Linked DNA regions of Tamandua tetradactyla. The protein of the gene in region 1 purifies or fractionates together with the protein of each later gene. This does not show direct contact. Links are inferred from orthologs where the notes say so. Each region holds a gene or a part of one and is shown in the gene's direction. Other genes may lie near its edges. The genes, in order: ILK, CCT7, GCN1 and RAF1.

Region 1 (8,084 bases):
CTCACAAATCTGGAGGCTAGAAGTCTGAAATCTGCGGGAAGAATCCTTCTAGCCACTTCCTAGCTTCTGATGGCTTGCTAGCAATCCTTGGTCTTCATTCTGTATTTCAGTTGCCACATGGAATTATCCCTGGTGTCTGTGTGACTGTGTCCAATTCTCTCCTTCTTATAAGGACACCAGCCATTTTGGATTAGGGCCCACCCTAATCCAGTTTGGCTTCATTTGAACTAATAACATATTCAATAACTGATTTCCAAATAAGGTCACATTCACAGCACCAGAAGTTAGGACTTGAACATGTTTTGGGGGATACACAAGTTAACCGGACTTTGTCATCCTTGTCTCTCCTTAAGTGAACAAGTACATTGGGTGCATCTCAAATGACAAGCTCTGGGAATACAAAGATAAATATGGCTTGAGAGACTTACAGCCTCATGCATAAAGCAATCACGACTGAGTATTTAAATGCTGAAGTAACATGACAGTTTTTTTTTTGAGCTTTGAGAGCTCACATGAGGAAATTAATTCTGCTTGGGAGCGGGAAACTAGGACACAAGCAGGCTGTTTTGAAGGATGAGTAAATCTTTACCAGTCAGACGGGAATGTCAGCAGAGTTCTAAAATAGCACATGCAAAGGCATTGTGCAGTGGCTCCTCAATGGCTCCAACCATGTCCTTTGCCCTCTAGCCTACCTCAAACCTGTGCCCCTTACTGGAGGTACCCAACTGTCTCAGAGCCCTGGAAGCTATGTCCTTCCAATGGCTACCTACCCTGTTCTTGTTACTGCAGATAGAAGAGACTACATCTTTACCCTGGGATTCAGGCAGATGCCTTCTGGGGGAGGCCTGGGATGGATCATCCCAGCTTATTTGACCCCTAGCGCTAGCCTTCCTTGCCCACAGCTTTCCCTGGATGTGCTGTCCTGGGCTTGATGCAAGACAGAGACAACGGACACTCTGTTCTGCTAATAAATAGCCCTAATCTCCAGCCCAACATGGCATCAACTATTTGTTATTTATGAACAGAGCCCCAGTTGCTTACAAACTCCCTCCAAGCATAGCTGAGAATCCATCAATGATCTCTGAATATCCTATGAAATGTGACTGTTGAAGAGCATATCTTGAGCTCTCCCAGGACCTTCCTTGGTGAACAAATCCATCCTTTATTTTTCAACCTCCATCCCTGCCTTGCAAAGGTCTCCAGAGAACAATGAGGCTTATAACACATCATAGCCACGAATACAATTTATTGAGCCCTCTTATGTTCCCAGCCCTGGTTACAGATTTCCTTAGTTAACACACATAATCACTCCTGAAGACAGGAATCCTTACCACTTTCCAAGAGGACTCTGATATTCAGAGATTAAACGATGCCCAGTTCTAAGTGGCAGGCTGGGTTTCAAATCCAGGTCCACCTGACTCCAAAATCTATGTTTTGACCATACACACCAGGGCACCAGAGGAAAACAGGTGCTGGAAGTAGTTTGGTCCATAAGGCTCCCAAGATGGAGAAGAGGGTAGAGATGAAGCAGCAGAAGTACATGGTACAGGGAATATCCAGGCAGTCTTGGCCCACCACATAGCTATGGGAACAGCCTGCATCTTCCCAGAAGCCCAGACTGTTATGTCATGCCAGGAGGCTGGTGGGCTACCAGTTGCCCCAGAGCCAAAAGCAATACCAGACTGTCTGCAGAGTTGAAGGCCTGGGTACACAAAAGTTGAAGGAGTAAAGGCTATGAGTGAGCACAGGAAGCTGGTCTGCAGAGAGAGGACAGGAAGAGAGGAGAATGGAGATGCTAAGACAGAAAGTTCATGTGGCTCCTGAGAGATGGAATAAGGAGCTAAACTCAAAGATGCCTTGAATCCCAAACCATCTAGACTCCACAAAACCCAAGGGGATCCAGGATACCCAGGTGTCCCTGTGTTTTACATATAAACCCCTATTCTTTAGTGACTTTATACTCGTAATCTAGGAAGGCTGCATTAGATCAGAGGCTGGGCCAGGGGCTTTTATCACTTTGTTCTTTGAATGAGGGCAGGTTGGTATCAGGTCCTGGCTCACAACCTGGTTAAAGTCTTTAGGGTTCTGAGCTGGGAGTTCAAGCCATGCCTCCCCTTTGGAGAGGGTCCAGAGGTCACCTGCGCTTGTAGAGACATGGTTGAAGCTTCAGGCCTGACAGTTGAGCCTTGGGCCCCAACCGAGGGGAGCCAGTCTTTTGGAAGTCAAACAGGAAGAAGTGGCTGTTGGTCAGGTCCTAGGAGCAGAAAAGACTAGTTAGCTCCGTATCTTCCCCCAGCTCCTCAAAACATCTCCCTTCGTTTCCTGTTCCTGTTCAGAATGCTTCCCAGGATTTCTCATGGGTTGTGGCTTTAGGGAACAAATGTCTGTTCCTGTGCCTATGGCCTAGTTTCTACATATCATTCCCCTAAAAAGGGCCACACATCAAACACAAATGGAGACGGACTTCCTGGAGCTCTCACCTTGGAGATGACCTTGAAGCCCAGCTTGGCCACAGCCCCCAGAAAGGCCTGAACATCCTCAAAGCGGCTGCTGACCTCAGCCACTTTCAGGAGACCCCTGGGGACAGAAAGTTCTGTGTAAATGTGTAGACATACACATGCACACATATACATGCATTAGTGTTCTAGGGGCTTACTCTGGCTTCAGCACACGATTTGCCTCCTCCAGGAAGTCCCTGATGTTGGTTCCCATCAGCGAAAGGCAGAACACAGCCACATCCACAGACTCATCCTCTAAAGGGACCTACAGAGAGTGGGAGTATTGTATGAAACACATGGTTGGACACAAGAGGAAGTAGGCACATAGTGTGGGGAGGAGGAGAAAATCTGCACTGAATGCTACGCTTGGCACCTAGGGGATGGAGATGGGGGGTGATTATAGGAATTAGCACATAGAGGTAAGGCCTAGAGGGGTTTACCTGGGCCATGTCACACACAGTGACCCTGGGGTCCAGAGAGGCCAAGTCAAAGCAATGCACAGGGTTCCGGATACTCGAAGCCAGGCGGCAGTCTCCGCAGCCAAAGTCAGCCACCACCAGGGATGCAGGCCTGGGAGTGGGAGTGAGGGGTCACTCACTGGCTTGGTCTGAGCCCATGACTGACCCATATTCTCACAGGTCCCAAACCCCATTCACCGCTGGCGAAGATCCCTGGCGATACGGTCCACAGGCTGCAGTGGCCACTTTTTGACTTGGCTCTGGAAGCCACGGTGGTAGAGAAGAAAGGCCTCAGGATCTTCCTTGAAGAGGCGCTGTGCAGCACTGCTGGGTCCCAAATATAGCTGTTCATTGAGGTAGCGAAATCGGGCACCATCTAGCCGCTGTGCCATGCGGGCTCGCAGAGCTCCTGCCCGATCCTCATGGCTGACTGGTTTAGGGGAAGGAGGCATCTTTGTCTCCTCTGTGGGGGCCAGAGCTGGAGCCTGGGCTGGCGATTGAGGTGGCCGAAACTTGTTCTTATGTCTCCGTTTGTTCTTCTGCCGGTTCCGCCACTGTTTGCGGCTCAAAGTATGGGGGTGTTCAGGGGAAGGGGATCCAGGCCTTGTCTTGTATAGGTCATTTGCAGCACTATCCTTCTGGGCTTTGGGACCTGCAGGGAAGGACACAGGAAGTATTTTGGGGAGGATCTCCCGAATTCAGAGGCTTGGCAAGTCATCTTGGTCATACCCCTGTCCTTGAAATAGGGACTGTGGCCTGGATAAAAGTACCTCTTACTGCCTAATCCCAATCCTAAAGATGGCAGGTAGCTTTTGTCATATGCAAGATCAGCTGAGCTCTCCTTGTCTGTGTGCCCTTCCTTCCCCCACACCACACATACTACATATACTCAATAGTACCTGTTGGATCAACATTGTCCCGGTGCTGGGCAGGGTTTGAAGGGGCCTGTTTCTGACATTTCCTCTTTCTTTTTTTCTCCTCAGCAGAGTCACTGCCAAGAAGAGCCCGTCTGCAGCACTTCCTTCCCACTTCCTTTTCCTCAGAGTCACAGCCAGGTGGGACCTGTTTCTGATGTTTCTTCTTCCTTTTCTCCCCTACTTCAGCAGAGGCACGAGCAGATGAGGCCTTTGGCAGACGTTTCTTCTTCCTGTCCACCTCCGCCTCCTCTGAGTCACTGCCAGGCGGGCTGCGAGGTTGCTGGGGAAGGGCTGCGGCCTCCAGGGCCCGTAACGTGGCCAAGAGCTGGCGGCGCCTGGGGGCCTGGAAGAAAACCAGCCATGAGCGCAGGGGCCTGGAGAACAAGGAGGGAGAGAGAGCGGTCCTCCTACTCAGATGCTGGCAGAAGTGACTAGATGCTTCCTAGTTGATTTAACTAGTTTGTGAAGCCTGCCATACCCTGACCATAACAGACTATGCTTTCCCGCCCCAGGGCCTTTGCACAAGTTTTCCCCATCCAAGGACCCCTCTTTGGGTCACTAACTTCTAATCATCAACAGGTATCTCTCAACTCAAACATTATTTGCTCTTGCAAGTTCCTGAATGTTCATACCAGACGCTGCCCCAATGTCGCCGCAGGTCCATCCCCTCCTCTCCAAAAGACACACACACACACACACACACATCCCCTCCTCTCCAAAACACACACACACACACACACACACACACACACATCCCCTCCTCTCCAAAACACACACACACGGCGTAGCCCTACGCGGGGATTCCACCAGACTCGGTTTCGCGGCCTGAAACCAATGCTCTGCGTGACAACTCCCCTACCTTGGTTTGCGATGCTGCCACAGGCCGAGGGCGTGAAACTACGAGCCCAAGCCTCGTAGCTACTGGGGCCTCCTCGGCCCACTCGGGCTCCTCGAACATGCGGGCCGGGAAGGCCGGGTCGCGGGACCCGCAAGCCTTTCCACGTGCAGAGCCTGCACAAGCCGGAACCGAACCGGAAACCAAAGAGTGAAAGCAGGGGCGGCTAGAGCGGCCGGCGCGGTGCCGGAAACCATAGAGTTTCGACACTTGTGAGCTAGAAGGGCAAAGGAGGAGGCGGGAAGGGAGAGGAGTGACGCCCCGCTGGCCCGCAAGGGGCGGGGGCGGGGCCGGGCGGCGGGCGCGGCCGGACGGGAGTTCCCCGGAGAAGGAGCTTGCAGCCCGAGTCCCGGTGAGTGCGGGGGTATCCGCGCCCCCTCCCCAAGATTGGGGCCCTGCCAATCCGTTACCCCTTACTCCACTTGAGTTTCGAGGAGGAAACGGGTGCCACACCCCGGGAGGACTCCGGATAACCACCCCCAGGCATACGCCTGCTGGACCTTCCCCTCCCCCTCAGTCCTATTCGCGGGTGGGGGTCTCCGTGCCTGCAGGACATCCCTTTTGGAGACGCTACCTCTTTATCACTCCTTATCCCACCCGAACCCGCCTTTCCCTCACTCCCAGAGGGGACAGTCAGGAATTATCCCGCCGCCCCAACTTCTTCCCCTAACCCAGGGATTCGGCGCCCAGACCTCGGCCCCCAACACGAACACTTCTTTCCTGTAGGGGCCAAAGCTTGGGGCTCGTCTCCCTCCCCTGGATCCCTCCACAGCCCCCAGGCCTCCCCAGTCTAGGGGACACAACACCGAGACGCCGCTATGGACGACATTTTCACTCAGTGCCGGGAGGGTAACGCGGTTGCCGTGCGTCTGTGGCTGGACAACACCGAGAACGACCTCAATCAGGGGTGAGCTGAGGCGACTTGGTGGGTGAGAGGAAGGCCAGAGACCTGCCTCTCTCTCCAGCATGGGGTGGTCAGCGGCCGACTTTGCCATCCATTGTAATAAGTGCTAAGCATAGCCTGAGGGAGTGCGGAGGGTCCCCACAGAGGAGGCAGTGTTTGAGCTGAATCTTGACAGATGAATAGAGTTTCTCAGCAGAGGCTGCAGACAGCTTTCTAGTCTCAGTGAACTGTAACCGGCTAAGGGGCAAGAAACATAGCGGAAAGTACCAGGAAATTGTCTCCAGTTCCATGTGGCTAGAGGTTAGAAGACTTTCTGTGGGCTGAAGCACTGGGTACAAGTGGAGAACGACAGGAGATAAGGCTAGAGAAGTCTGCAGAGGTCAGTTAAAACCATGCAAAGGTTATTTTGGCTATAGTAAGGTTTTTATTTGAAGAGTAAGGGTTTAAAGCTGTATAGTGATGTGAAATTGTCCATTTGTTAAGTATCACCTTGGATGCTTGGAGCAGGTGGGAGGAGACAAGAGTGGATATCAGGAGATTATTGCTTAGTCCCAGAAGTGATGACAGCTTGGACTAGAATGTGAGCAGCTGAAAAAGAGAGAAATGATCATATTCTAGAAATCTTTGGGAAGAATTGGTGGGACTTGATATCAAATATGGGGAAGGTCAAAGACGGTGACCAGGGTTCTGGCTTGGACAGCTGGTGGTTCCTTTTAACTGAGATGGAGAAGACTGAAGGAAGATGATGGGTTCCATGCTGGACATGTTAAAGTTAAGGTGACAATACATCCAGGTGGAAGTGCTATGTGCTGCTTACACAGATTTTGTGTACAGGACCGAGATCTGACTTGAAGACACACATTTGGGGGATATTAGTATGTAGATGATTACCAAAACACATGGCTATTAAAGAGAGCCTCAGAAAAGCAGAAGACGAGGTCAGGGAAGTGAAACCTGTGAGGAGACTGAAAAGGAGCATTCAGAGGTTGAATGAGAAGTGGAAATGTGTTAGTAAAGTGTAGAGAAGAGAATGATTCAATGAAATGAGAGTGGTCAACAGTAGTATAGGTTGCTGAGAGGTCAGGAACGTGAACACTCTAAAGTAGCTAATATATATGTCCTATATATTAGGATATATTTGATGATCTTGGTGAGGGCCATTTCAGGAAAGAATAGGTCAAGAAACCAGACTACATTGGGTTTATTCATTTAAGGAAATGTACCAAACATATTCTGTGCTGGTTGTTGGAGGCCCAGCATCAGACATTATCTCTGCCCTCAAGGTGGCAGACTTGTGGCAGGTTGAAAAGTGAATGGGAGTTGAGGAAATAGAGAAAGTGAATGTAGACAAATTGTTTAAAGTTGGCTGAGACTGAAAGGCAAGAAAAGTGGTAATGATGGTGATTCAAGGGGGTGAGAGGGTCACTTTTTTTTTTAAGGTCTGGAGAGTTGTTTTTTAAGAGGTATGGGTCACCTGTCTTAGTCCAGGCTTCACTGGTCCTCTTTAGGTTCTACACAATTTCTTCCTCATAATTTGCAAAGTACAATTGTTCCATTTTTCATAACATCCTCAAAGGGTGCTGTGATGAAGACAAAATTGCTATTTGTTGTTGAGGTTATAAAGGCATAGGCAAAGCTGTACGGTGGGCCTAGCATCCAGGAATAGTCTTCACTGTCAAAAGGTGAAGGGGTGGCATTAGTGAAGGCTTTGGTGTTTGGTTTGAGGGTCCAAGCTGGATATGTACTGGATATGAAGTGGGGTTAATTCCCTGCAGGCCTTCGTGGGATGGGAAGTCCAGGCCCTGAAGTGACAGGCAGCCTTGACAGTAAGCAGAACCTCTGTGCCCATACTTTTGCCCTCAGGCTCTAGAGCCATAGATTACTGGAGGCCTGTAAACCAGGGCACAAATTAAAGAGCTGGGAGGCAGACCAGCTGATAAGCAGGGGGTGATATTTGCTTCTGGGGGATACCAACCTCCATCGAAAACTTTCAGCTATCTCTGTATGGACAGATGAGGAAGCTCAGTAAATTAGAAGTCACACCCTCCCACCTCCATCAGTTGTGGGCGTGTCTGAGTTTAAGGAGCCCATCTGGGGTGGCCTGAACAGGCTGGCTTTCACCCGGCCTAGAGCCCCCACACGGGAAGTGACCACAGCACTAAAGCATGTTCAGGCTGCCAGCCCAGCCCACGGTCCGCCCCCTGCTCCACCCCTTGGATCTGCAGGGAATTTCCTTTTATGGCCCCAGGCTGTCTGTCAGGCAGGCCCAGCTCCCACCCAATTGTGCTTTTTTTGGTATTTTTTAAAAATACTTTCTCTTTATAACACCTGTGCCCTTAAGGAAAAAGAAGAGTCAAGTACAGTTTTTTTTCCAAAGCAGCCATTCTTCATTTTCTGTGCCCAGGATTGCTA
Region 2 (7,532 bases), on another chromosome or scaffold:
GCAAGGGCCCTGTGAACACAAGATAAGTCTTCTCCCCAGGAGTCTAAACTACTGTTGCGTAGGGCTTTCTCAACTCTTGAGTAGGAGGCTGAACTGGGATCAGAGACCAGCAGTTATTTATCTTATCTAGGCTTCAATTTCCTCTCTTTAAAACAAAAGTATGGGGCCAGACCAGTGGGCTTTGAGGGCCGCTCCCACCCCTGGTGCTCTTATTGTAGGACACACTTGCAACCCTGATGAGTAGCTTTATTGCTGAAAAGTCAGTGAGGGTTTATGGAGTCCCCAAACACTAGGTCCTTAGACCCCTCCAGCAGCTGCCGGGGCGGGGCCGGGTGGGGGGGGGGGAGAGGCTGTGAAGGGCAAAGTGAAAAGATCCTTACTGAGAGAGGCTGGAGCCAGGTGGAATGTGGCAGGTCACAGGTGACTCTCAGGCCACCTGCTTTTTACCCTTTTTCCATATACTACCCAGACGTCATGGGACCTGGTTCTTGCCTCTTCCTGTAGCATGAGACACTTGGGGCTCTAGGGAAGGAAGGCCAGTAGGGTGGCTTCCCTTCTTCAGCCTAGCCAAGGCCCAGGCCTTTTCTCCTCTATCTGCAGTCCTCCCCCCACCCCCATCCCCAAATGCTCTCCCCAATTCCCAAACAGCAAAATTCCTGGGTTGCCCCTTCCCAGTCCAGAGTTGCTTATGGTTGGAATGTGGGACCAATTCTTCTACCAGAAGGTCCAGGGTGGTTGCAGCAGCTCAAAGGTGGGGATGCTGGTGACATTGACTGGTATGGAAATGATGGCCCATGGCAGCCCATGCTGTTCCAAGGAGCGGCGGATCATGTAGCTGGGAGGGCATGAAGAAAGGTGGTGATGGTCACCCTCTTGGTACCCTGTTATGCCCCAGTGTCCCCATCACTCTAACAATTCCAGAGCTTGACTTTTTTCACCCTGGGGCACCCCAAGATGAGGCCTGAGGGAAGGGACTGGTGATTGCCCTGGGCCTCCACCCTCAGGCTGGTGCTGACAGAATCAGGGATAAGGAGCCCTCACCCATCTCGGCCGAGTAGGAAGAGGGCGGGGATGTCAGCTGTGCGCTGGGTGCTGTCCTGGATCATCTCCACATAGAAGCTGTCATTGTCAACCGCATCATCAGAGATGATCACTGCCCGCCCACCGTGCTCCTGCACCACCCGGGTCTTGGAGAGGAAGGAGCAGCCCCTGGAAGAAGTGAGACAGAAAGACAGGGTTCTAATTAGGCCATCACATGGGTGGATGGAAAAAGCACCATGGAGAATTTTTTTTTTTTAAATAATAGCTCATAAATAAATAGCCAAAAAAAATGTGGAAATTCTTAATACATTTTTAAGACCCTTAAAACAACAAATTGCCCAGAACCACCTGTTTCAAAGAACCACTAACAATGAAGATCCCAGAATCTCCCCTAGGCCCCTCCTTACCCCCTCTCCACCAGAGCGATCTGGTTTTGGATGAAGAAACCGTTGCTGAGTTCCCCACAGGCCTCTGGGGGTTCGGCAGGGACAAGGTGGATCTGTTCATACCTCGTGTGCTGAAAGACGTTGAGCCGGGTGAGAATGTAAAGAGATGCCTGTTTAGGACTAGACTGAAGCTTCTGAATTAATTGCTCCTCACAGCTTGAAGCAAACTTGGAATGGCTGCTCTGTGCCAAGCACTTAAGCATTTTTACTTCACTCCCACAAAGGCCTGTCCTCCCCCACCTTCCCTTGCTATGAGACAGGTGAGGAATGGAAGTGACTTGCCTTAAATCACATATACTAGAGGTAGAGTAATAGAAAGCCGGTGCCCTTGGTTTCTCACTATTTTGTCTGTAAAGAAGAGCTTGTCTTTCTGCAGTGCCCCTAGGAGTAGCTTGAAATGTTTCCTCCTTGCACTGTAACCCATGGAGGGCAGAGCTGAATTCTCTTCCTTTCCCCATCCCAGCCCTTGGCATGTAGCAGCACTCAGGTATTGGTTGAAGGGATGACAGGGACACTGTAACTCAGGGAAGGGGGGATTGAGGATCAGAAAGGAGGGGGCCTCCGTGAACTTACAAAGATCCCACCGAAGTCCTTGGCAGGTGTGGCTGTGAAGATATATCGAATGTCCCCAGGACTCAGCACTTGGAAGTACAAATAATCATGAATGCGTAAACCTGAAGGATAAAGGGTACAGTTGAGAGGCCTCCTGAGTATAAGCTGGTTCAGGTTCAGATCACAGATTCTGTGACTTCAACTGAGCTGGCAACAGTACGGTCCAGGGGCCCTGCCTCAGCAGATTGGACATCCTAGGTGGGTGGGATAGTTGGTCTTTGCACTGGAGACTCGCCATTCTCATATCATCCCCCTAGTCTAATTGCTATCATCTCTTGCCCTGACTGTTCAGCTTGTTAACTGGTCTACCTGTCTCCATTTTTGCTCCTTAAGGCCCATTCTTAAAACAACAGCCAGAGTTAACTTTTAAAACAAATAAAATCATGCCATCACTCACAGGGCTTCAACCTTCAACCACTTCCCTTTGCACTTAATCTTAATTCTAACCATGGTCTGTAATAAGACTCTGCGCAGTCTAACCCCTGGCCTCACCATGTTCAAGCTACACTGGCCTCTTTTATTTTCTTGACCATCCAAACTCTTCACTTCTCTGGATCTTCCTGCAAGCTGCTCCCTCTATCCAGAAGGCTTTCTATCTATACCCCACCCCACCTCCACCTCTTTACCTGGCCCACTCCTAACTCATCTTTTGAATCACAGCTTAGAAAATGTCACTTTCTCAGAGAAAGGCTCTGCCTTATGGCCATTCAAAATGAGATCTGCTTGTACTTTTTCTCCATTGGTGCTTTCAACCTAATTTGTAAGTACATAGTACACTGTCATGATTTTTTGTTTAATATTTGTCTCCTCCACTAGGGCAAGGATAAGACTAGATCCACTCAATGCTGTATCTTCAGTACCTGGGATAGTGGGTGCTCAATAAAGGTTGTTGAATGAACAAATGACAACATTTTCAGCTCCAATATCCCGAGGAAGAGAACTGCTCAAAAACCAGATTTCCCGCGAATGTGGGAACTTCAGCACACAAAGTTTAATGTGTTACCTGGTCTTAAGTCTCTGGTTTCCTTAAACTAGCGAGGTTGAGGATAGTTCCATTAGTCAACAGACTACTAAACCACTAAGGAGTGACAGGCTTGGGACTGGTTGTGGCTTTAGCTGTCCTTATCTAGTGCCCAAATCACAGCCTCCTGGTAGAGTTCATTGGCTTAGTTCTGGGCTACAGCCTTTTATCCTGGGAATGTGGACCCCCTTGGACACACTCCCAGGAAGACTTCCTGCCTTAGGGCTAAATACCCCCCTACCCAATATACAGTCTAGCCTGGCCTCTGCTTAGTCTGCGTAAATTAAGTGTGGGTCTTCGTTTGTTGTGAATATGGGTGTCTACATGTATGTGCTCATGTGGATGCATAGGCTGTATGTACAATTGTTAGGAACGTCTGCTCCTGTATATGGATGTGAGTGTTCACATATGTCTAGAGTGTAGTATCTCCAGCTGTTACTTGTGTCTCCTGGTCACATCCCTCAGTCATCTGGGTCAGCGCGAATATAGGGGCGACAGCTGCTTCGAAGCCAGTAACTGAGGACTCAGGGCCCTACCTCGCGCTGCGCCCAACGCGACTCCCTGGAGACCAGCGCCCGCCCACTCTATTTACCCGGCCCTAGGTCTGCCCCCCACTCACGGGATCCCCAAGGTGACCTGTGGCCCCCGGTCAGAGACGCATGCAAGCTGGACGGCCAGTCCCGCTCCGCGGCGCAACCCCGCCCGTTGCCGCTCACCGTGGGCCGCGACGCACGCAGGGAGCCAGAGCACGAGACAACACCAGCCCGCAGTACCCGGGACCATCTCCAGGGCCGGGCTCGGCCCTGCGCTTCCTCCCGGCACCCCACCGCGAGTCCTTCTCCAGACTTCAGTCTGACAGCTACTCCCGCCTCCCGCCCACGGGCCCGCTCTCTCCGCCTATTGGCGGACGGAAACGAGGTCCACGACTGATTGGCTCTGAATTCTGCTTGTGTAGTCACACTTTCTGCCTCTGCGCCTTTACCCACTTCCTATTGGTCAAGAGAAGGGAGCCCGAGGGCTGATTGGTTTAAACTCTTAACAGCAACTGCCGGCCCTCACCTCGGCCCCGCCCCGCACGTCGTCGTCTGGATTCGCCTTGCCAGGACTTCGCCGACTTGGGGGCTGGACTGAAGGACCCGGGTGGGGTGGGGGAGGTGGCTTCCCTGCGGAACTTGCCTCGGCAGCTGAAAACCTGGCCGTCAGCTCTTGCAGTTTTGGCCGGATCCTCCTCGCATTACAACGATTTGCCGATGTGCTGCCCTCCTCCCAGTCCCCTCGGGAGGCACTTGTCGAGCGACCCTGGCCACCGCCCATCCTCTGGCCACTTCCACCATTTTTGCGCGCTGCTGTTGGGGGTTGCTGGGGACGTGGGCGGCCCAGATCCAATCCAGTGCAAAGCCCGAAAACGCACTGGGGTCGGGTTCCCACGCCTCTCCTCAACCATCGACTTAGCGGTAATTTTGGACACCACCTCTCTGAGACTTGGATCATACTCACCTGTAAAGTGAATATAATAATAGGATTGCGGCAGTAGGAATGGGAGAATTAAACGATTTAGCATAGGCCGGTCCCACAGCTAGCGTTCAATAATAACTTTGCGTTTATTGCACTCCTTGGTCTGACGTCCGGGGTGGGGGAGAGTGGGAACGGAATCAGGATTAGGTGACACGAGCAGAGCAAGGATTGTACGTGCCGGAAGAGAAAATTACGACCGGAACCTCACTACGCTCGGCTAACTAACGCTTCTTGCTGGAGGACCTTGAGCGCTCTCCGAGGCCCAGCCTCTGGTCCTTCTAGCCATGCCTTCTCTGTGGTAGGCGAATCATAGAGTGGCGGAAGTGGCTCGTCCCCTTCCTCTCCCGGGTCAACGGCTTGGCGGAGCTTCTGTGGATTTCTGTGGCGCGGAGAATTGTGGGATTGCTGGACGGCCCGCTCCTGGAGAAGAGAGAAGTGGCGGGCGACCGAATAAGCTTCCAAGATGATGGTGAGTGGCGTGTCGCGCATCCGTTGCCATCCACCGCCATCCGACCCGTGGCTGGCACCTGCTGGCCAGAACTCGCCTCTTAGGGCCCTCTCCTGCTTCCTGGCTGTGTCTTCTCCCCGACCCTTGGTTGTGGACTACCCCGGCCAGGCTTGGCCCGGGTACGGAGGCCGTTGACCCAGGGATATGTGGGGCTCGCGGGGAGGCGCCGGTTGGGCTCGCTGGGGTAGCCCACAGCGTACTCTGGAGCCCCGGTTTTAGGAGTCCCCTTTTCGGGTCCTGTGTGAATCAGCCGCGGGTCGAGCGTGCTTACGCGGTCGACTGCCGGACGTGGAAGTTCGGGCTGCCTTAAAAAATGTGAAATGTAAAAACATTGTGTGTTTCCGAGAATGGGCGCTGGCAGTATGAAACCTCCACTCATGGTTTCATTCATTCATTCACTCACTCATTAAATACATGCATATTTAGTGCCTATTTAATGCAACAAGTCCGGCTGTTCGCTCGGCGTGCAATTGCGCAGCCAGGAGAATGAGCAGGGCAGGTAGGGACAACGCACTCAGAGGTGGGGAGACCCAGACTTCGACCCTCGCCCTGTCTGCACCTCCTGATGTGACATTAGACTGGGCTTTTTTAGTTGGTCACCTAACTCGGGGTCTCCTCTTCATCTCAGAGCTGCAAATGCCTTCAGTAGGTCCCAAGCCTGTCATGTATCTGATGAGTTGCTTTTGAGCAGGACATCTGGAGAGGTTTTTGCTCTCAAAACGCTGATTAAGATATTATCCCCTTGCACGTGGCAATTTACTCATTCATTTTGGTCTGTCCATCCAATTCAGTCTCTGTTTTTTTCCTGCTTCCTTCAGCTTTCCCTCTTTTGGTAGATGTCAGTCTCCTATAAGGTGCTCAGTGCCTCCAGCTTGTGCCCAACACAGAAGAAAGCTGAGCTTTATCTGAACCATCTCCCCACATCGTACCTCCAGCACCTTTTTCTTTCATATCTTCAACATTACCTATGCATGAACTCATCTAGCAATTGAAAGTAAGGGCTTTGGAGTCACACTGAATGCCTAGGTGTGTAACTCAGCTCTGCCACTTAGTAGCCATGAGTCTTTGAACATGTTATTTAGGATTTGGTTCTCAATCAGATGGGATAGCAATAAGTAGGGTGCTGTTATAAGGGATTAAGTGTATCAGCAACATACAGAATAGACTGCTTAGAGCCATGCCTATATGTATGTTAGCTGTTATTCTGGGTAGTTGGTTGCTTACTTCCTTTCCTCCCTGTAAACCTTCCTGCTGTGGTATGGGTTGGCATTCCAAGCACTGGGGATTAGAACAAAAGTTCTTTGGTGATAAGATCCTTCGCCAGGGGGCTTCAGTCTACCATGCTCGAATTTTTACCTGAGCAGACCCTTATTCATTCATCTCTATCAGTTGTCCTGCTCTATTGACTGTTGAAACTTGTCTTTCTTTGGGGGTGCAAAACTTCTTTTTCACCAAGAGCCTACCCTTCTGTCATCAAATTGGTCCCTGGTGTTATAGAAGCCTTCTAGAATAGTACAAGGGATTCTCCAGACCTCAGTCGTGTGACTGTTGTACAGCTTGCTCATCAAGTAGTTGCTTGTGGTGGTGAGCACCATCTGTCTTTGCCTATAAGCACCTGATCTGATTTTATAGACCATTAAGCTTAATGATGCAAAAACCGTTTTTAAAGAGGATGAGGAGAAAGATCAAGCTAAAATTCCTAAGCCTTTCATGATAACCTTGGCGGATTGCTGGATTCTTCTGTTATTTCTTGAAGAGTAAAATGAGTGATATTGAAAAGTAACTTGGGGACAGAAGCTGGGCTTGTCATAGCTAGTAAAGGACTCTTCCTTCTTGACTGAATTTGGCTTACTCTAGCTCTGCCATCTTTAACTTTCCATAGGATCTCTCCTCTACTCAACTAGCCATTTCTGTAGGGCCTAAAAGCATATGGAATTTGGGGAGTATATGATCAAGTGCTTCCAAGTCCCTCCTCTCCTCCTATCTCTTCAAATGTTTTTTATTGTTAAATATAACATATATACAGAGAAAAAAAGAAAAAGCAATGATTTTCAAAGTACACTTCAACAAGTAGATACAGAACAGATTTCAGAATTTGTTAAGGGTTGCCATTCCTCCCCCCCATTTCTGCCATTTTTAAGTGGTATTAATTACAAGCATAATGTTGTGCTACCATCACCACCATCTATTGCTAAAAGTTTTCCATTATCTCTAACAGAATATTGTTTCATGTATGGCCGAATCTAGGTATTCTGCAAATCAAGGTGACTTGTTGGGTAGCTCATACTTTAAGATGGATAATTATATAAAAGTTGTAAGCAAGGGGAAACAAAGAGTATGGGATCCCTGTTCAAGATGCTGGAGCTCTGAGGAATTGCTGAGGTAAGAA
Region 3 (7,624 bases), on another chromosome or scaffold:
ACTGTGCTCTATTCTTTCCCCCTACATTTGTTGTGAAAATTTTCAGAAATTCAGGGCACTTAAACCCACTATCTGGGTTCTACAGTTAACATTTTGCTCTGTTTAGGTAGTTTTTTGGATGCTGTACATTCATCTTTCTTGTTTAGGTCTTTTGGGGCAGTTTTTTATTCCTCTTGAAAGCTATTTTAGTGAAATCAGAAACATGCCTCATAATTGGGAAAAATTAAAACTAGATTTATTTAGGTCTTTATGGTTTTATAGTTCATGGAAGATACTCCTGTTCACTTGTCACTTTGGGTGAGCTTAGAAACCTAGCTATCACCATTCATACCTAGCGAGTCAGCAAGTTTCAACAATTCTGGCACTGGTCTAACTCAGGTGCTTCCTGGTGGGAGGAATTGCCCCAATTTCCAAGTAATTTCAGAAGTTCAGAAGAAAGGGAGTGAAATGGAAAGCCAGGGATTGTGGGGTTTGGTTTCTCCTAACATTTATTTCCTCTTTTCTTGCTGAACTTCTGTTGTTTCGGGCTTATTTTTATAGCAACTTCTGGATGATTATCCAAAATGCTTCATAGTGGGAGCAGACAATGTGGGCTCCAAGCAGATGCAGCAGATCCGCATGTCCCTCCGGGGGAAGGCTGTGGTGCTGATGGGCAAGAACACCATGATGCGCAAGGCCATCCGAGGGCATCTGGAAAATAACCCGGCCCTGGAGAAGTCAGTCAATTTCCTGGCCAGCTCTGTCCTCCTTTCCCTGTGCCCTTCTCCATTTTCCTGGAGAATGGTGCTGAAAGGTGATAATCTCCTGTAAACTTGTCTTTGCAGACTGTTACCTCATATCCGGGGGAATGTGGGCTTTGTGTTCACCAAGGAGGACCTCACTGAGATCAGGGACATGCTGATGGCCAACAAGGTAAGGGGAGGACCGGGTTAGTTAAAGAGACTTTATTGTTAACTTTGGCTCCTTGAAAGCAAAATTGACCATTCTCAGGTTGGTTCTGTGGCAGGAAGACTGTTCTCACTCTCTCTTGTTTTTGTTCAGGTACCAGCTGCTGCCCGTGCTGGTGCCATTGCCCCTTGCGAGGTCACTGTACCTGCCCAGAACACTGGTCTGGGGCCCGAGAAAACCTCCTTCTTCCAGGCTTTAGGCATCACCACTAAGATCTCTAGGGGCACCATCGAAATTCTGGTGAGTGGACCTGGCTTGCCTTTGCTGGCAGGTAGGGGGTATTCTTTTGGTGGCTCGGCCTGCTGGATGCCCAGGTATTAACTGTCAGCTGTCTTTTTCTTCAGAGTGATGTGCAGCTGATCAAGACTGGAGACAAGGTGGGAGCCAGTGAAGCCACACTATTGAACATGCTGAACATCTCTCCCTTCTCCTTTGGGCTGATCATCCAGCAGGTGTTTGACAATGGCAGCATCTACAACCCTGAAGTACTTGACATCACAGAGGAAACTCTGCACTCCCGCTTCCTGGAGGTACATACTGTCTTGTCCCTTCCATTAATGATGAAGAGCATGATTGATATCAGACTGGATCTTGGCTATGCTACTTAAATGAGGTGTATAACCAAGGACAGTTTAATTTGTCTGCCTCTGTTTCTTCATGTAAAACTGCAATAATATATGCTTGTTGAAGGATTTAATTAATGAAGGTGAAGCCTTAAGACAGTGCTGGGCACATAGTAAGGGCTATCCTAGGGGCTGCAAAATCTCATTTTGTGTAGTTGTGAGAAATTAAGAAAAATGGACAATTCAGTGCTTTCTTACATAAGTGCCAGGTATCCTTGGAAGGACTGATTTTCCTTTTTTCTGAGATTGTCCCTAACTTTTGCCATTAAGTTTGCCTTTAATAAATATGATGATACTTATATAGTTTTTTCTTTATTGGTCAAATAAAAACTTGCAATTAAGTAATACCTTAACCCGTTTTAAAAAGAAATCTCCATGAGTATATAAAGTTCATGTCTGAAATTTGTTTAGTGATTCTCTTTCATGGAACTCAAAAGGTGTTGTTGATAGTTTATATTTTTCATAAAATTGTGGTGGCTTTTGAGTCCCATCAGTAGAGAACATAGATTGGGAATAAGGGCAAAAAGCATTTGTAACTCAGTGGGTCTGAATTGCTTTGCCAGGAGTGATAGGTATGAGATTGACAGGTCTCTTGTGTTTGAGATACTTAACAAGTATCCTTTAGTTATTTTTATTTATTTATTTATTTTTAACTTGGGCAGGCAGCGGGAATGGAACCTGGGTCCCTGGCATGGCAGGCAAGAATTCTGCTGCTGAACCACCATCACACTGCCCTGTCCTTTAGTTTTATCTGGATTTCCCTGCCTTTATTCCTAGGATGTTCTTGCCTAAAATGTAATTTCTCCCTTGTCTGCAGGGTGTCCGCAATGTTGCCAGTGTATGTCTGCATATTGGTTACCCAACTGTTGCATCAGTACCCCATTCCATCATCAATGGGTACAAGCGAGTTCTGGCTTTGTCTGTGGAGACTGATTATACCTTCCCACTTGCTGAAAAGGTAAAAAAAGATAACACCAGAATCACAGGGGCAACCTGCTGCTTAGTGCGTTTATCCTTTTTATAATTGTTTACATAGTAGGTATATTAAGAGTGTAAGTGAGGTTGGTGTTGAGAGGTGGGGGAGGAGGTATGCTAACTTTGGGAATGGCCAGAAACTTGGAAGATTTAATGGGTGAGAGCTGGGCCTAGCTGGCCTTCTTACAAGGCTATATCCAGCCTTTGCCATGTCTTGTTAGGGAAGACCACACACAGGCTTTGGAAGTATTGGTCTTTATACCTAGGGTGGAGGGTTGTGGATAATGAGGGGTTGTCAATGACTGTTTTGGATGATCACTAACTTCTCCCCTTGTTTTCAGGTCAAGGCTTTCTTGGCTGATCCATCTGCATTTGTGGCTGCTGCCCCTGTGGCTGCCACCACCACTGCTGCTCCTGCTGCTGCTGCTGCAGCCCCAGCCAAGCTTGAAGCAAAGGAAGAGTCGGAGGAGTCGGACGAGGATATGGGATTTGGTCTCTTTGACTAGTCTCCAAAAAGCAGCCAACTCAACTAGCTTTATTTGTGAATGAGGAAATAAAGGCTTACTTCTCTTAAAAGTCTCTGGATGCTTTATTGTACATTTTGATGTTTACTAACTTTTCTAAACCAGCTTAAACTGTCCTTTTTAAATTATTATTTTTTTATTACATAGGCAGGTACCGGGAATCGAACCCAGTTCTGGCGTGGCAGGTGAGAACTCTGCCACTGAGCCACCAGTGCCTGCCCAAATTCGTTTTGTTTTTTTGACTGTAATTCTTGTTCCTATGGGCCATTTGACCACTAGCCTGTTCTAAGATACACAGTAGGTCCTTAAGTATGCAGTGGAGGAATGCCAGGTATCATCCTGGAGAGCAGTGCCTTTCACAATTTGGGGATCCATTGATCAGCAGGTAGTGACTAGTATTAAAAGACAAAATACCAGGTTTGGGGTGATTTGCTGTGAAACTCATTTTTATATACAGACTTGTATACTGGGCTACGATATTATGTTATTGTAACTAGGTCTTAAAAGTTTGAAAGCCCCTGCTAATAAGGGCTGACACGAAGCTATGAAGACCTTATGCTCTAAATTGTATTCTATAAACGTAGGTAGATCTCTCTAGGAATAAAATTCAGACAACTTCCATGGGTGGTCGGCCTTCCCAGTCATTGCCTTGGCTTAAGCTCCCATTGTGGAGCATCGAGGATTTCCCAAAGGCAGCCTCCTCTCCCAGCTAGTGTGAATCCCGTCAAACCAACCCCTACTTTCTACCTTCCACAAATACTGGATTGCAAATTTGAGGATCTGTGTCGCTGTTCTGTACCTGGCTGCGTTCCAGGCGTCCAAGCAGCTCTCGACACGATACTTAATGTGATTTCAGGAACGATCCACGCAGGCTGGGCTTGCGGGCTATGTTTGCGGGTTGGAAGCCGCAGGGTAGGTCTCACCGTATTGCAGATCTTCACAGACCCTCTCCCTACGAGACCTGGCGGAGGACACCTTGATTTGGAGCCGAGGGGCGGGCCCTAGGGAAGCCGCCGGGTCTGTAGTCCGGGCTCTCACAGGACCCGGGGACGATCGCCGTCCCGCCCAGGGACGTCAGGTCAGGTACCCGCCCCGGCTCCAGGACTCGCCCTGCCGCGTGGGCTCGCGCGGTGACCCGGAAGCGCTCCGGAAATGATTCCGGGGTCAGCGCCGGCAGGATGGCGGCGGACACGCAGGTGAGGGGGGCGGCCGCTGGGCCAACAAGGCTACGTACTGAGGGCGGGCGGTGGCCTCCAGGTCGGGTCGCTCCCGCTGCTTGGCCTCGGGGCGAGGGGCCGCGGGACGTGGTGGTTGCGAGGGGAGCGGCCCCTGGGTTGCTTGCTGCTGGTCCTTTAGGGCTCCTGGTCCGGCCCGGCTCCTGACTCGGGCGGCGCCAGTCGATCGGAGCTGGAGGAGACAGGACCTCCGGCCTCGGCTTCGGCCGCTGGAGTCTGGTGGAGCCCTCCCTGTACACTGGAGTTGCAGAAGTTCGTCTGTTGAATTCTTCGCTCCATTTCCCTTTAGCCCGCCGACATTGAGCGCTGGGCCAATGCCAGATCCTCCTTTAACTTTGTAGTTAGCGTAAATGTTTTTCGAGTACCTACTGTGTGCAAGTACTTATAGCACTGTCTGTATGCAGACAGATCTGGGTTTGAGTTCACTGCCGCCGCTCTCAGTCGCTGGGCAAGTGACTTAACCCCCGCAAACCTTACACGGTAGTCCTGAGGATCAGTGAGATAAAGTAGGGGTCGATATATAGTGACTGTTACCATTACATCCAGCGTTAAATGAAATAACTGTATCTACCCAGGAATTCCTCTTGATTGGTATCTGTTTATGTTCCCCTTGAGTGGTACCTTGTAGGTCAGGGAAGAACTTGGGGAAAATCGTTTTCCTCCACTCCAGACTTGATTGTTATTTTAAGGTTGAAAAGACAATGTTTAAGGTTGTCTTTGTGAGTGTTTAAGGTTGAAAAGACAATGTGGTGGGGAAAACAACAACAATAAAAAAAAAGCACAAACGAATATCTAAAGGACAGTTTGGCATACTTGGGTCTCCTGGATGATGAGTGAACAGAGCGTGACTATCTATTTGAACATTCAAAAGGTCGTTATTGAGGTTCCCCTGTTCGAGGGAGGGAATTTGTTTCAGGTTGTGTCATATTGAATTAGAAAGAAAAGCTTACTCTTTTGAATAGTTCCAGAGGTCAGGTATATAATATATGGTGAATGTTTAACATCGATGCTCATGTGCAAAAATGTCTTTCCTCTAGAGCTGTGTTGCCAAATATTCGCCACGTGGGAACTTAAATTAATAGCCATCTGGCTATTTAAATTAGTTAAAGTTAAATAAAATGAGAAATTCACTTACTTTGTTATGCTAGTCACATTTCAAGGGCAGAGTAGACATACGTGGTTGGTGGCTACTTAATCATAGAAAGTTCTATTGGACAACACTGCTCCAGAGAGAAACCTGTGAGCGTTAAAGCTGTTTGCATATGAGCTCATTGAAGGGTTTTGGGTACTCTCAGTTTCATACTGACAATGTTTCAAATTGTAACATTCATTTTCTGGTAAAGAAAAAGAGCCTTCAACCTGTAAAGCCCACTACCCGTTAAACTGTAGCCAGAAATTTAATATCATCACGTGGAAAGACAGCCATGTGGGAATTCTACAGAGATGGTGTATTGTGTCTATGCATCTGTTTTTGCTCCTCAGACCCACTAAAACTAGTAAAGCTTTTTTTTTAATGCCATGAGGATTGAGAGAATGAGAGTGCAGACAACAGCAGCAAACTTAGGAAAGCTAGAAAGCCATGATAAATGGTAAAGAACTTAGCAGACCGAAGAAAAATGAATACTAAGGCAACGCTTGGCAAAGCTGCAAACCAATCTGATGTACACTGCAGAATTTCTGAAAGACTGGTGATATCCATTAACCTCTGGAAGTAAGGGTGAATGAGGAGAAGTTAAATGAAGGAGAATTGGTTGAAAGTCTGTTCTAGATGCAATTGAGACCCAGATCTCCAACTCCACTCTGGCAAAAGACTAGAGATTTTCTCTCTGGAGAGTGTAAAACAGAGGATCACTACATTGTGAGGGCTAGGTTAGAAGAGGGTCTAGTATCCAAATAAGAGGGAGTAGAACATATTGGAGAGGAGGAAATCATTGACAGAATAAAATAGTTCAAGAAAAATTCCCCAAACTGCAGGATGTGTTTCCAGACCCAAAGTGCTCAACACAGTGGATTGAAATAGACACATTAAAGCACATTATGAGATTTTAGAACCCTGGGCAAAAGAGGAAATCCTCAGGTCTCATACAAAGGATCAGGAGTCAGAATGGCAACCTCTCTCACCAGTTCTGGTTGAATATTTTGGTATTTGCTTCCCTCTCTAAATGACACAATGGAGAACTGCCTTTGGAATTCTGAAGGTAAATAATTTCACCCTAGACATGCAAGGACTCCACAGATTTACCTCTCATTCATTCCTTTCTCAGAATGTCCCTGGAGAATGTGCTTTACCCACACACAGGAAAGAGTGAAGCTTTCAGGAAAATCAACTGTGCCCCAGTTGTAGAGGATCACCAGTCTAGGATGGGGCAGGTCAGAAAACTCCCGGAGAGCCTTCCTCAGCTAGAGGGACTGATTTACCTAAATGTCTTAAGATTTAGACAAATAGCGAAGAGTTGGGAGTTGGATTACTGATAAGAACAGATAAAGCAAGGAATGGGAAAGGGCAGTTACTAAGTCCAGGGAAATTGAAAGCTGTGTAGGATAAGAAGCATAATCATAGTTTATGAAATGAAAATATGGATACTATTTACATATAATGTAGATACTGATTACTGAACTACCCCATATTAGGAAATTGGGGAATTACATTGAGGAAATAAGTAGGGTGAGTTGGGGCTTGGGGAAAGGAAAGAAAAGTATGGGAAGTAGGCACTAATCTAAAAAAATCAAGCCTAGCGGTACTAGGAAGTCATTTAGAGAGGGAAGCAAATACCAAAAGATTCAACCAGAACTGGTGAGAGAGGTTGCCCCTGGGGAATTAGGGCAAGGGACTGGTTCTTATAGCAAACCTCAGAATTTTTTACTCTTTTTGAATCTTTTTTTTTTTTTTTAATTGTGAAATATATATACAAATCAGTAGATTTCAAAGTACGTTTTAACGAGTAGTTTTAGAACAGATTTCAAAGTTTGGTATGGGTGACAGATCCACAATTTCAGGTAATTCCTTCTAGCTGCTCCAAGTCACTGAAGATTAAAAAGAAACATCAATATGATTCAGTAATTATATTCACTTATTAAATCCTAACTTTGCTTTTATAACTACTCTTCTGATCCTTCTCCCAGTCTTTAGGGATATTTGGATTATGCCCATTCTAACTTTTTTAATGTTGAAAAGGGGTGTCAACAATATGGAATAGGGGATGGAACTGGTTGATGGAGATACTGGGTTTCTGGACTTAACTGGCCTAGAAACCATCTGAAAGTTTTAGTTTCTGAAAAGTAAATTAGGTGTGTGTAACTCTTATAGGATCTCAGATAG
Region 4 (7,925 bases), on another chromosome or scaffold:
TATGAAAATGTCTCTTTGTTGAGGGGTAACAAACCCCTCATGACTCTTTGTTGAGGGGTAGCACGTACCAGCAGAATCACATGCTGTAACTTTAAAGACAGAAGAAGTAATTTGTATTTCCTTGGTTTGAAGATGCTTTTGAATACTCACCATATCCTTATAGATAAGTCTTTGCAGCTTTCAGATATGGATTAAGTGCATCTTCATATCGACAAAGGGTTCTGCCAAGGCAAAAATGTTTAAAAAGACAAGCAGGAACTCTTCTCTATTTAGTTGGCTGAACACCTCATATTTTTCTCAGTCTTTCACTAGCAAAACTTCATAACTCATCGGAAATGAGAAAGGAATCACGAAAAGAATCTGAACATTTAATAACATGCCCATTGTCTCATACAATGTCTTCATCGTATAAATGGTTAAAAAATGACATTGAAAGCTGTGTGCAAGGAATGTTTATTGCATCAATTTTTTTCACTTCAGTTCCTTGTTTCAAGAAGGCCGATGATGTTCAAGGTTTCTCTCTCAACTGGGAAGGTACCTCGTGAACATGGCAGCGTCCACTGGCTTTTTCATGGCTCCATAAAAAGGCTAAGGACTTTATTTTAATTTTAAATCTCATGAGTCTTTAGGGCAGAGATTGGGAAGTGATGGCCCAAGAGCTGAATCTTCTCCCTAGGCCCTCACAGTGTATTTTGTTCGTTTGTTTGTTTTAACATATAACTTTACGGTCACCCATGACTTCTCTGTTTCTCTCACCCCTCCTTCCTCTCTCTTCCCACCCCATCCACTTCTAAGCCATTGGAGAATCAACCATCATTGGCTCAACCTTCAAAATGTAGCCAAGCATCCAACCACTTCTCACCATCTCCACCACCTCTACTGGTCTGAGCCACCGTGACTACCTCTCGCCTGGACTTTCTGATACTTCCTGTTTTCCCCACTTCCACTCTTGATTTCTTAAGTCTGATCTCAGTACAGCAGCCACACACAGGTGTTTTAACTTAAAAAGCTGCGTCCCATGACTCTCATATTGCTCAGAGTAAAAGCCAAAGCTTTTCAAAACAAGGGAGTTCTTCCAAAAGTCTACAAGACCCTGTACCATCTTTCGTCCTGGCCTTCTGACCTCATCTTCTACCTCTCACTCTTCACTAGATCCACCCCAGCCACACTGGCCTCCTTGCTGCTCCTCGGACAAGCACTAACTATTCTCTCTGCCTGAAGTGCCCTTCCCCCAGACATCTCCATGGCTCACTCTGAGTCTTTGCTCAAATGTCACCTCTCAGTGAGGCCACCCTCTTTCATTTTGTAACCTGCCCCCTCCCAGTCCCCTTCACCCAGCTTTATTTTTTCCCAAAGCATTTATTCACAAATTACATATTTTACTTATTTATTATGATTTTTATTATTTTTTAATATCTCCTCTTTCTAGAATGTGTGTTCCTTCAGGGCAGGTACTGCTGTCTGTTTTGTTTAATGATGTGTCCAAGCACCTAGGATAGTACTCTGTACATAATTCAGTGCTCAATAAATATTTATAGAATGAATAAAAAAATAAAAGTCTGATTTTTGACTAAAAAAAAAAAAGACAAAACCCTAAGAGCCACCACCACTGGGTTGCAGCCCTCTCTGGTAACCATTGTGGTGGCTGAGTGGTAGCTGCCTGCTTTAGATGGGACCTACATTTCCAAAGGGCCATAGCTCCCCACCCCATGTCCACTTTACTCATTCATCTCATCTGCCTAGTACCTGCAGGCACTTGAGTTTGCAATCCCTGTTACCAGATGCTTTGGGATCTCTGAAGAGGAGAACAGAATACATGGAGCCTCCCAATTTTTCAGGCCATAGAAGCTTTTGCTGAAATGACCTTTATCAACCTGCAGGCAGCGGGAGAAAAGGTGAACATCAGCTGTTTGCTGAACTGACAAGGGTGAGGGGAGTTAACACAAAGGATGGGGAGGCCCTGGAGTCATTTTCCTCCCCATGATAGGGGTTGGGAGCTCCCTGACAGCTGGGGGAAAGTCTGATTCAACTCTATCTCTTCCACAGGCTTTCAAATCAGGGATGGTGGGAAGGGCTGGTCTGGCAGTCAGAATAAGCTCCCTGATTCTGCACTGGGTGACCTGGCTTGAGTCATTGAACATTTTGAGTCTCTAGTCCCTCATCTAAAAAACGAAGGTGTAGCCATCTTTCCAGATCAGCTGTGAGGTCTGAATAAGGCATAGTCTTCTTGAGCTTTCTAAGCTGCAAAATGCTTGGAAAATACCATCTGGAGGAAATTAAAGGAAGGCATGACCTGGGAATGAGCCAAGTGTGACCCTGTCACTCTGCCTCACCCGATGATGCTGATGCTGATGACAATGGTGGTGATGATAAGTGATAGCTTTAATTATAGTTAACTGTATTTAATGTTACTACTACAGGCCAGGCACTATTCTAAGTGCTTTACACCTTAAATTCACTAAATTCTTACAACTTTTAAAAACTATCACATTTTTGTTACAGATGAGGATACTGAGAAACTGAGAGGTTTAAGTGACTTCCCCGAGTCCCAGATCAGGAAGTGGCAGTGTTCGGATTTGAACTCAGGCAGGCTGGCTACATGTTACTGAAGTCTCAACCGTCTGGCGGTGTGCTAAATGCTCTCCACACAACACAATCTTATTTAATTCTATGAGGTAAGAGTTATTGTTATCACTCTTATTGGAAAAAAAATACCCCATTCAGGGTTCTCTCCACATTCCATGCCTCAGTTTTCCCCTGGCTTTTATTTTCATGCAGGATCACATGTTCCTGCCTATCCTGATTTGCTAGCTACGGAAAGCAATATACCAGAAACAGAACGGCTTTTAAAAAGGGGAATTTAATAAGTTGCTAGTTTACAGTTCTAAGGCTGAGATAATGTTCCAGTTAAAGTAAGCCTATAGAAATGTCCAATCAAAGGCATCCAGGGAAAGATACCTTGGTTCAAGAAGTCTGATGAAGTTCACGGTTTCTCTCTCAAGTGAGAAGGCACATGGTGAACACAATCAGAGTTTCTCTCTCATCTGGAAGGGCACATGGCGAACATGGTGTCATCTGCTAGCTTTTTCTCCTGGCTTCCTGCTTCATGAAGCTCCCCAGGAGGCATTTACTTCTTCACCTCCAAAGATAGCTGGTTGGTAAACTCTCTGCTTCTGGTGGGTATGTCATTCTCTGCTCTCTCAAAAATCTCTCTCATTCTCCAAAATGTTTCCTTTTTTATAGGACTCCAGAAACTAATCAAGACCCACCCAAATGTGTGGAGATACGCCTTAACCTAATCCAGTTTAACAACCACTCTTGATTAAATCACATTTCCAGGGAGATTATCTAATTACAGTTTCATACATACAAAATTGAATAGGGATTAGAAGACACAGCTGCCTTCACAAAATGGGATTAGGATTAAGACATGTCTCTTCTAGGGTACATACAACATTTCAAACCAGCACACTGCCCTTAACTCCTTACCTTCCTTCATTTTTCCTTGTAGTGCACATATTCCTACCTGAATTTACACATTTTTTCTTCCCATTACTAGGAGACAGGGATTTTGATTATTGTTGATTTCCTAATACCTAAACGCTATGTGTGGTATGTAACAGGCTGTCAATAAATAGTTAAAAGAATGAATGTAACATGTAGCTTTGTATGCATGTGCTTGCATAAAAGCCTTTTTTTTTTTGTTTTACTTCATATCTTGGAGGGTTTTTGTTTGCTTTTATCAGTATATAGATTTAGTGTATTGTTTTAAACAGTTGGGATATTCCACACTGTGGGTGTGGCATCATTTAACCAGTTTCCTATTTAATCTACATTTTTCTATTGTTTCTCTAATCCAAACAATATGGCAATAAACATCTCTGCACATACCATTTTGCGCGAGTGTGAACGTATTTCTCTAGAACGAGTGCCTATAAATGGAACTGCCGGGAGCATGGGCGCTTACATTTAAAATGTTAATAATAATCCCAAATTGCCCTCCCTATTCACTCCTGCCACTGCTGTATGAGGATACGTGACAGGTGTGCATATACCTAGGACCAAACTGGATATCAGTCCTTTAACTTTTTGCCAGTCTGATGGGAGTTGGTGGAGGTGGGGATGAACCTCATTTACAACTGAGGTAACTGCGGCTCAGAAAGGTTTAGGAATTTTCCCAGGCAACTGGTAAGTGGCGGAGCCATGATTCGGCATCGGATGTGAGACTGTTGAGAGGAGGCACCATAGCTGGATACTGTCCTCTCTGCACGTGTACATGTGGTCATCTCTGAGACTCAACATGCTGACAAGCACGCAATTCTCGGCCAGGCCGCTTTCTCTCCCCATCCAGGCCTTGGGGCTCTCCCCGGGAGCTACACTCGAAAGCTCCTCGCTCCCCTGGCAACCTGCTCGGTTCCAAAATGGCGGCTGCAGCAGTCGGGAGCTCGAGGCCACGCCCCTTCCCCAGGGGGCGGGCCTTGAGATCAGGCCCAGCGATCGATGCCGGAGCCAAGCTCTAAGTGGGGCCTTCAGGCGGCTGGAGCCGCAGCAGAGTCGGAGGCCCCGCAGGTCGGGAGGAAGAGTACCGAGCGGAAGGCTCGCTTGCCGGGGCTGTCCGAGAGTCTCTTCATCGCGGGCACTGTGGCCGCCATTTTAGATGGCGGGAGTGAAACGAGAGCGAGCGTAAAGCGGGACGTCTTCCCTTCTGCTCTCCTCCGGCCCTTGGCCGGGCTTTGGGGCGTGTGCCCTGAGGCGCGGAGCGTGAGTGGGACGATGCGGGGTCTGCCCGGGGCCCCGTCCCCCGGGCTGGGGACGCGCCGAATGTGACCGCCTCCCGCTCCCTCACCCACCGCGGGGAGGAGGAGCGGACGAGACGCCGCCGCTGGACGTCGGGACACCCGGGCGCCCCGTCTCCCTCAGGTAGGCGGCCGGGCCTGGCCCGGCCCTGGACGCCGGGGGAGCGAGGCCGGGTTTCCCTGGAGCCGGGCGGGGGCGGCGCTGACTGAGCGACCCGGCAGCTGCCGGGCTGAGGGCCCGGGCCAGGCCGCTGTCACCCCGGGTGGCGCTGGGCGGGTGGGGGGCCCGGTGTCATGGCCGGCGACCCGAGTTCCCACATCCCCACTCAGATTTCGTTGTGTGTCGGGGAAACGTTTCAGTGCCACCTACGTGCCCAGTGCACATTCCTCATGTTTTGGCCGTGGGAAAATCCACCCAGAGCTTCGCCGTATCGTTGTCATTAGGACAGACTTGTTTCTTTTATATCTGGCGGCGGAGTTGGGGACTATGCTTTCGCCTTCTCTCCGGGTTCATCACTAAGTAACACCCTCTTAGGGAAGACGAAAGGAATCCGGGAAGAGAAAAGGAAATGGGTCAGTGCCTCACCACAAAGACAGAAGGGCCTCGCCTTGGTTTCAGGACTCTGTGGGTTATTAATGAAAGGTTTGGGATGCTTAGACTGAGGATTGGTCCCGGGATGCTTTGGAAGGGAGAACCAGGGCTATCTTCTGTGCCAAGGAAGAGCCGCCAGGATGGTTCACTTCTGTAACTGCAGAGAATCTGCAGAGCTAGTCGATGCCCGGAGACCAAGAGGAGTTTGGACGTCGTGAGAGACGAGGCGGCTCTGTGTTCATTCATTGTTCTTTTTCCAGGACTCTGGGTGTGCCCTCTGGTATTCGTTCTCTGGTGGGAAGAATGATAGGATCTCGTTTGTCTCCTTGAGATGCGATCTGGTTCCAGGGGGTCACGCAGTCTAAGTAGAGAAGGAATTCCTTGCACATTCACATAGCATTTCTGCCTGCCTTGACTCTAATGACTGAGGGAGGAAGTCTCCTTTTCGTTGCGCTCCCAAGACGAGAGAAGAAAGCCTTGTGATGAGGTTTGGCTTTCCGAATGCTATGGAAACTTGGAACACCTAGTTCTGCCTGGGGGAGCTAAGGAAGCTTGTACACTTCAGGGGACTTTTGCCCGGAGTTTTGAAGGATTGATGAGTAAGTCCTCACCAGGTAGGAGGAGGGGAAAGGCATTTTCTAAGCTGAGATATAAAGGCATAGAAGCTGCCGGAGTTGGGATGAGTTTAGGGAGGAGCAAATAGTCTGCCGGGAGAAATGGTGAGAGTTGAGAATCCAAAAGAAAAGTTGCTAGATTGGGAAGGGTTTTTCTTTATTGGAGGTAGCGGTCAATTAATTGATTTAATTTGGATTCTTCTAAATTGGTGGTGTTGTTTCGTTGTTCTTACCGAAAACTCGTTTCTCTCCCCTCCCTTCATGATTTTGAAACTAACAGTAATTTTTGAAAAGATTTACTTTGTTTAACCCAGTTAAGAGCATTTTTGATAAATGGTTTAGATAAAATGTTTTGCATTTATGCAACGGTGAATGGACTGCGCTCATATTCCTAGGGAATTTTGCAAAACATTTTTCTCACGTTAATGCTTGCTCATTAACGTGACACACAAAAAAGTGAATTTTTAAATGTCGCACACACTGTTAATTCTCAGGTTTAAGTGGCTGTTTCACAACATAAACAATGTTTCCAGTCATACAGAAATTGGCAGATTATATATAACATCCAAAAAAGTGTAGAATGCAAATGACTATTTTTAGCTTAATAGATGTGTTTTACGTTGTAAAATGGGTCTTCGGGTTCCACTTCTCGTATCCTGGTTCCAATTCTCATATAAAATCTGAAGCTCTATGAACATAATTTTCCTAAAATAGTTGTGTTATTGTGATTAATTCTTATGCTAAAGTTGCTATTAACATATTAACAGACTTCAGCTGGTAGTTCCCACATCTTTCTTAAAGGATTGTGATTATATACCACTGAAGAACATTAAGTCTTTGGCTGGCTGTCACCCTTATCATGTCAAGGGCTAAGCTGTTTAAAATGCAACAGAAACATTTGACCCAGTTGAACAATGGATAGTTGGGAGTACAAACCTATTACTGTTTCTGTTCTGAAAATGTATCTATTCGGTGTGTGGCGTTTGTGATTATAAATCGTAGTAATCTTAAGCTCTTGTCCATAGTTGGAAAACTTTTCGTCTTCAAAGTAGAAGGCTGGAATGAAATATTTGAGGGTATTTTATGGGATTTAATTTAGCAGAAAGAAAACTTAAGTGAAAAGCTGATTAAGCCTGTCATTTATGACAAAAAGTATCTAGAAGATGAAATAGAGAATGGTTACACATCCGGTACCTTAGAATTGCTGTGAACCTTGTTGCTTTTAGTTTAAAACATGCCATTTGTGAAGTCCAATGTAGGTGGTTTGCTCTGAAGATTAAAAAAATGACTTCATACTTCTTGTATGTTAAATTTGACTTTTCTAGAAGCTCTAGATTACTTATGAAATAGGAAATAAAAGTAATAGCTTCATTTACTGTTTCAAGTGTCCAGTTAGTAGATGTATGAGTCTATATTTTAATTTCAGATAAAACATTGCTAGTGACCTGTAGCCTAAAAATAGGAAAATATTACACAAGGGAATACTTTTATTTGCATGTTAGAGACATAATAGGCCCTACACAATAATACTATTCTTGGGAGGAGCTTGTTTGCCAAGCAACATGCCTTAACGTTGACTTGCAGATGAGAATTTTAAATATTGCCTTTGAAAGGTGGTAGACTAATGTAACAGTGGAGTGGGGGAAGAGGGATGGTGTACTGAGCTTTGACTTGAAAAGCTTTTAGATCATGGAAGTAATTTCTTCAAAACAAATAACCGTAGTTGGAAAATTGCTTACCTTGACGAAATTAATTGGAAAGTCAAGGAACATTGGCTTCGTTCAGGATTTAAGTCATAATTTACTCTGTGTGAGTGTGTATGCATGCGTATGGGCGCCGTGTGCTCGTGCATGCCGTGAGTGTATGTGCCTATGGATAGGTAAGAATTCCTCGTTGCTCATCTGGGTTAAAAAAATGTAATAC

The links.
Region 2: the proteins of ILK (region 1) and CCT7 purify together in Homo sapiens (affinity purification with mass spectrometry; 4 studies listed by BioGRID and IntAct, with this or other methods). This does not show direct contact. The link is inferred for Tamandua tetradactyla from reciprocal best matches to the Homo sapiens genes ILK and CCT7.
Region 3: the proteins of ILK (region 1) and GCN1 purify together in Homo sapiens (affinity purification with mass spectrometry; 3 studies listed by BioGRID and IntAct, with this or other methods). This does not show direct contact. The link is inferred for Tamandua tetradactyla from reciprocal best matches to the Homo sapiens genes ILK and GCN1.
Region 4: the proteins of ILK (region 1) and RAF1 purify together in Homo sapiens (affinity purification with mass spectrometry; 3 studies listed by BioGRID and IntAct, with this or other methods). This does not show direct contact. The link is inferred for Tamandua tetradactyla from reciprocal best matches to the Homo sapiens genes ILK and RAF1.

Annotation. Positions count from the first base shown.
Region 1 is NC_135334.1:80,041,871-80,049,954, forward strand, and holds the start of ILK (scaffold protein ILK), read left to right. Parts: upstream 1-5,008; 5' UTR 5,009-5,120; intron 5,121-5,494; 5' UTR 5,495-5,586; coding exon 5,587-5,675; intron 5,676-7,447; exon of another isoform or gene 7,448-7,498; intron 7,499-8,084. Other genes in the region: RRP8 (ribosomal RNA-processing protein 8), read right to left, coding at 2,135-2,254, 2,481-2,577, 2,657-2,763, 2,939-3,068, 3,155-3,608, 3,856-4,216, 4,733-4,831. UniProt on the Homo sapiens protein: Scaffold protein which mediates protein-protein interactions during a range of cellular events including focal adhesion assembly, cell adhesion and cell migration.
Region 2 is NC_135343.1:46,877,354-46,884,885, forward strand, and holds the start of CCT7 (T-complex protein 1 subunit eta), read left to right. Parts: upstream 1-4,228; 5' UTR 4,229-5,098; coding exon 5,099-5,104; intron 5,105-7,532. Other genes in the region: PRADC1 (protease-associated domain-containing protein 1), read right to left, coding at 715-835, 1,042-1,209, 1,449-1,558, 2,061-2,161, 3,837-3,903. UniProt on the Homo sapiens protein: Component of the chaperonin-containing T-complex (TRiC), a molecular chaperone complex that assists the folding of actin, tubulin and other proteins upon ATP hydrolysis.
Region 3 is NC_135331.1:20,497,313-20,504,936, reverse strand, and holds the start of GCN1 (stalled ribosome sensor GCN1), read left to right. Parts: upstream 1-4,223; 5' UTR 4,224-4,248; coding exon 4,249-4,266; intron 4,267-7,624. Other genes in the region: RPLP0 (large ribosomal subunit protein uL10), read left to right, coding at 541-716, 825-912, 1,042-1,188, 1,293-1,478, 2,389-2,529, 2,888-3,052. UniProt on the Homo sapiens protein: Ribosome collision sensor that plays a key role in the RNF14-RNF25 translation quality control pathway, a pathway that takes place when a ribosome has stalled during translation, and which promotes ubiquitination and degradation of translation factors on stalled ribosomes.
Region 4 is NC_135335.1:36,145,675-36,153,599, forward strand, and holds the start of RAF1 (RAF proto-oncogene serine/threonine-protein kinase), read left to right. Parts: upstream 1-4,809; 5' UTR 4,810-4,920; intron 4,921-7,925. UniProt on the Homo sapiens protein: Serine/threonine-protein kinase that acts as a regulatory link between the membrane-associated Ras GTPases and the MAPK/ERK cascade, and this critical regulatory link functions as a switch determining cell fate decisions including proliferation, differentiation, apoptosis, survival and oncogenic transformation.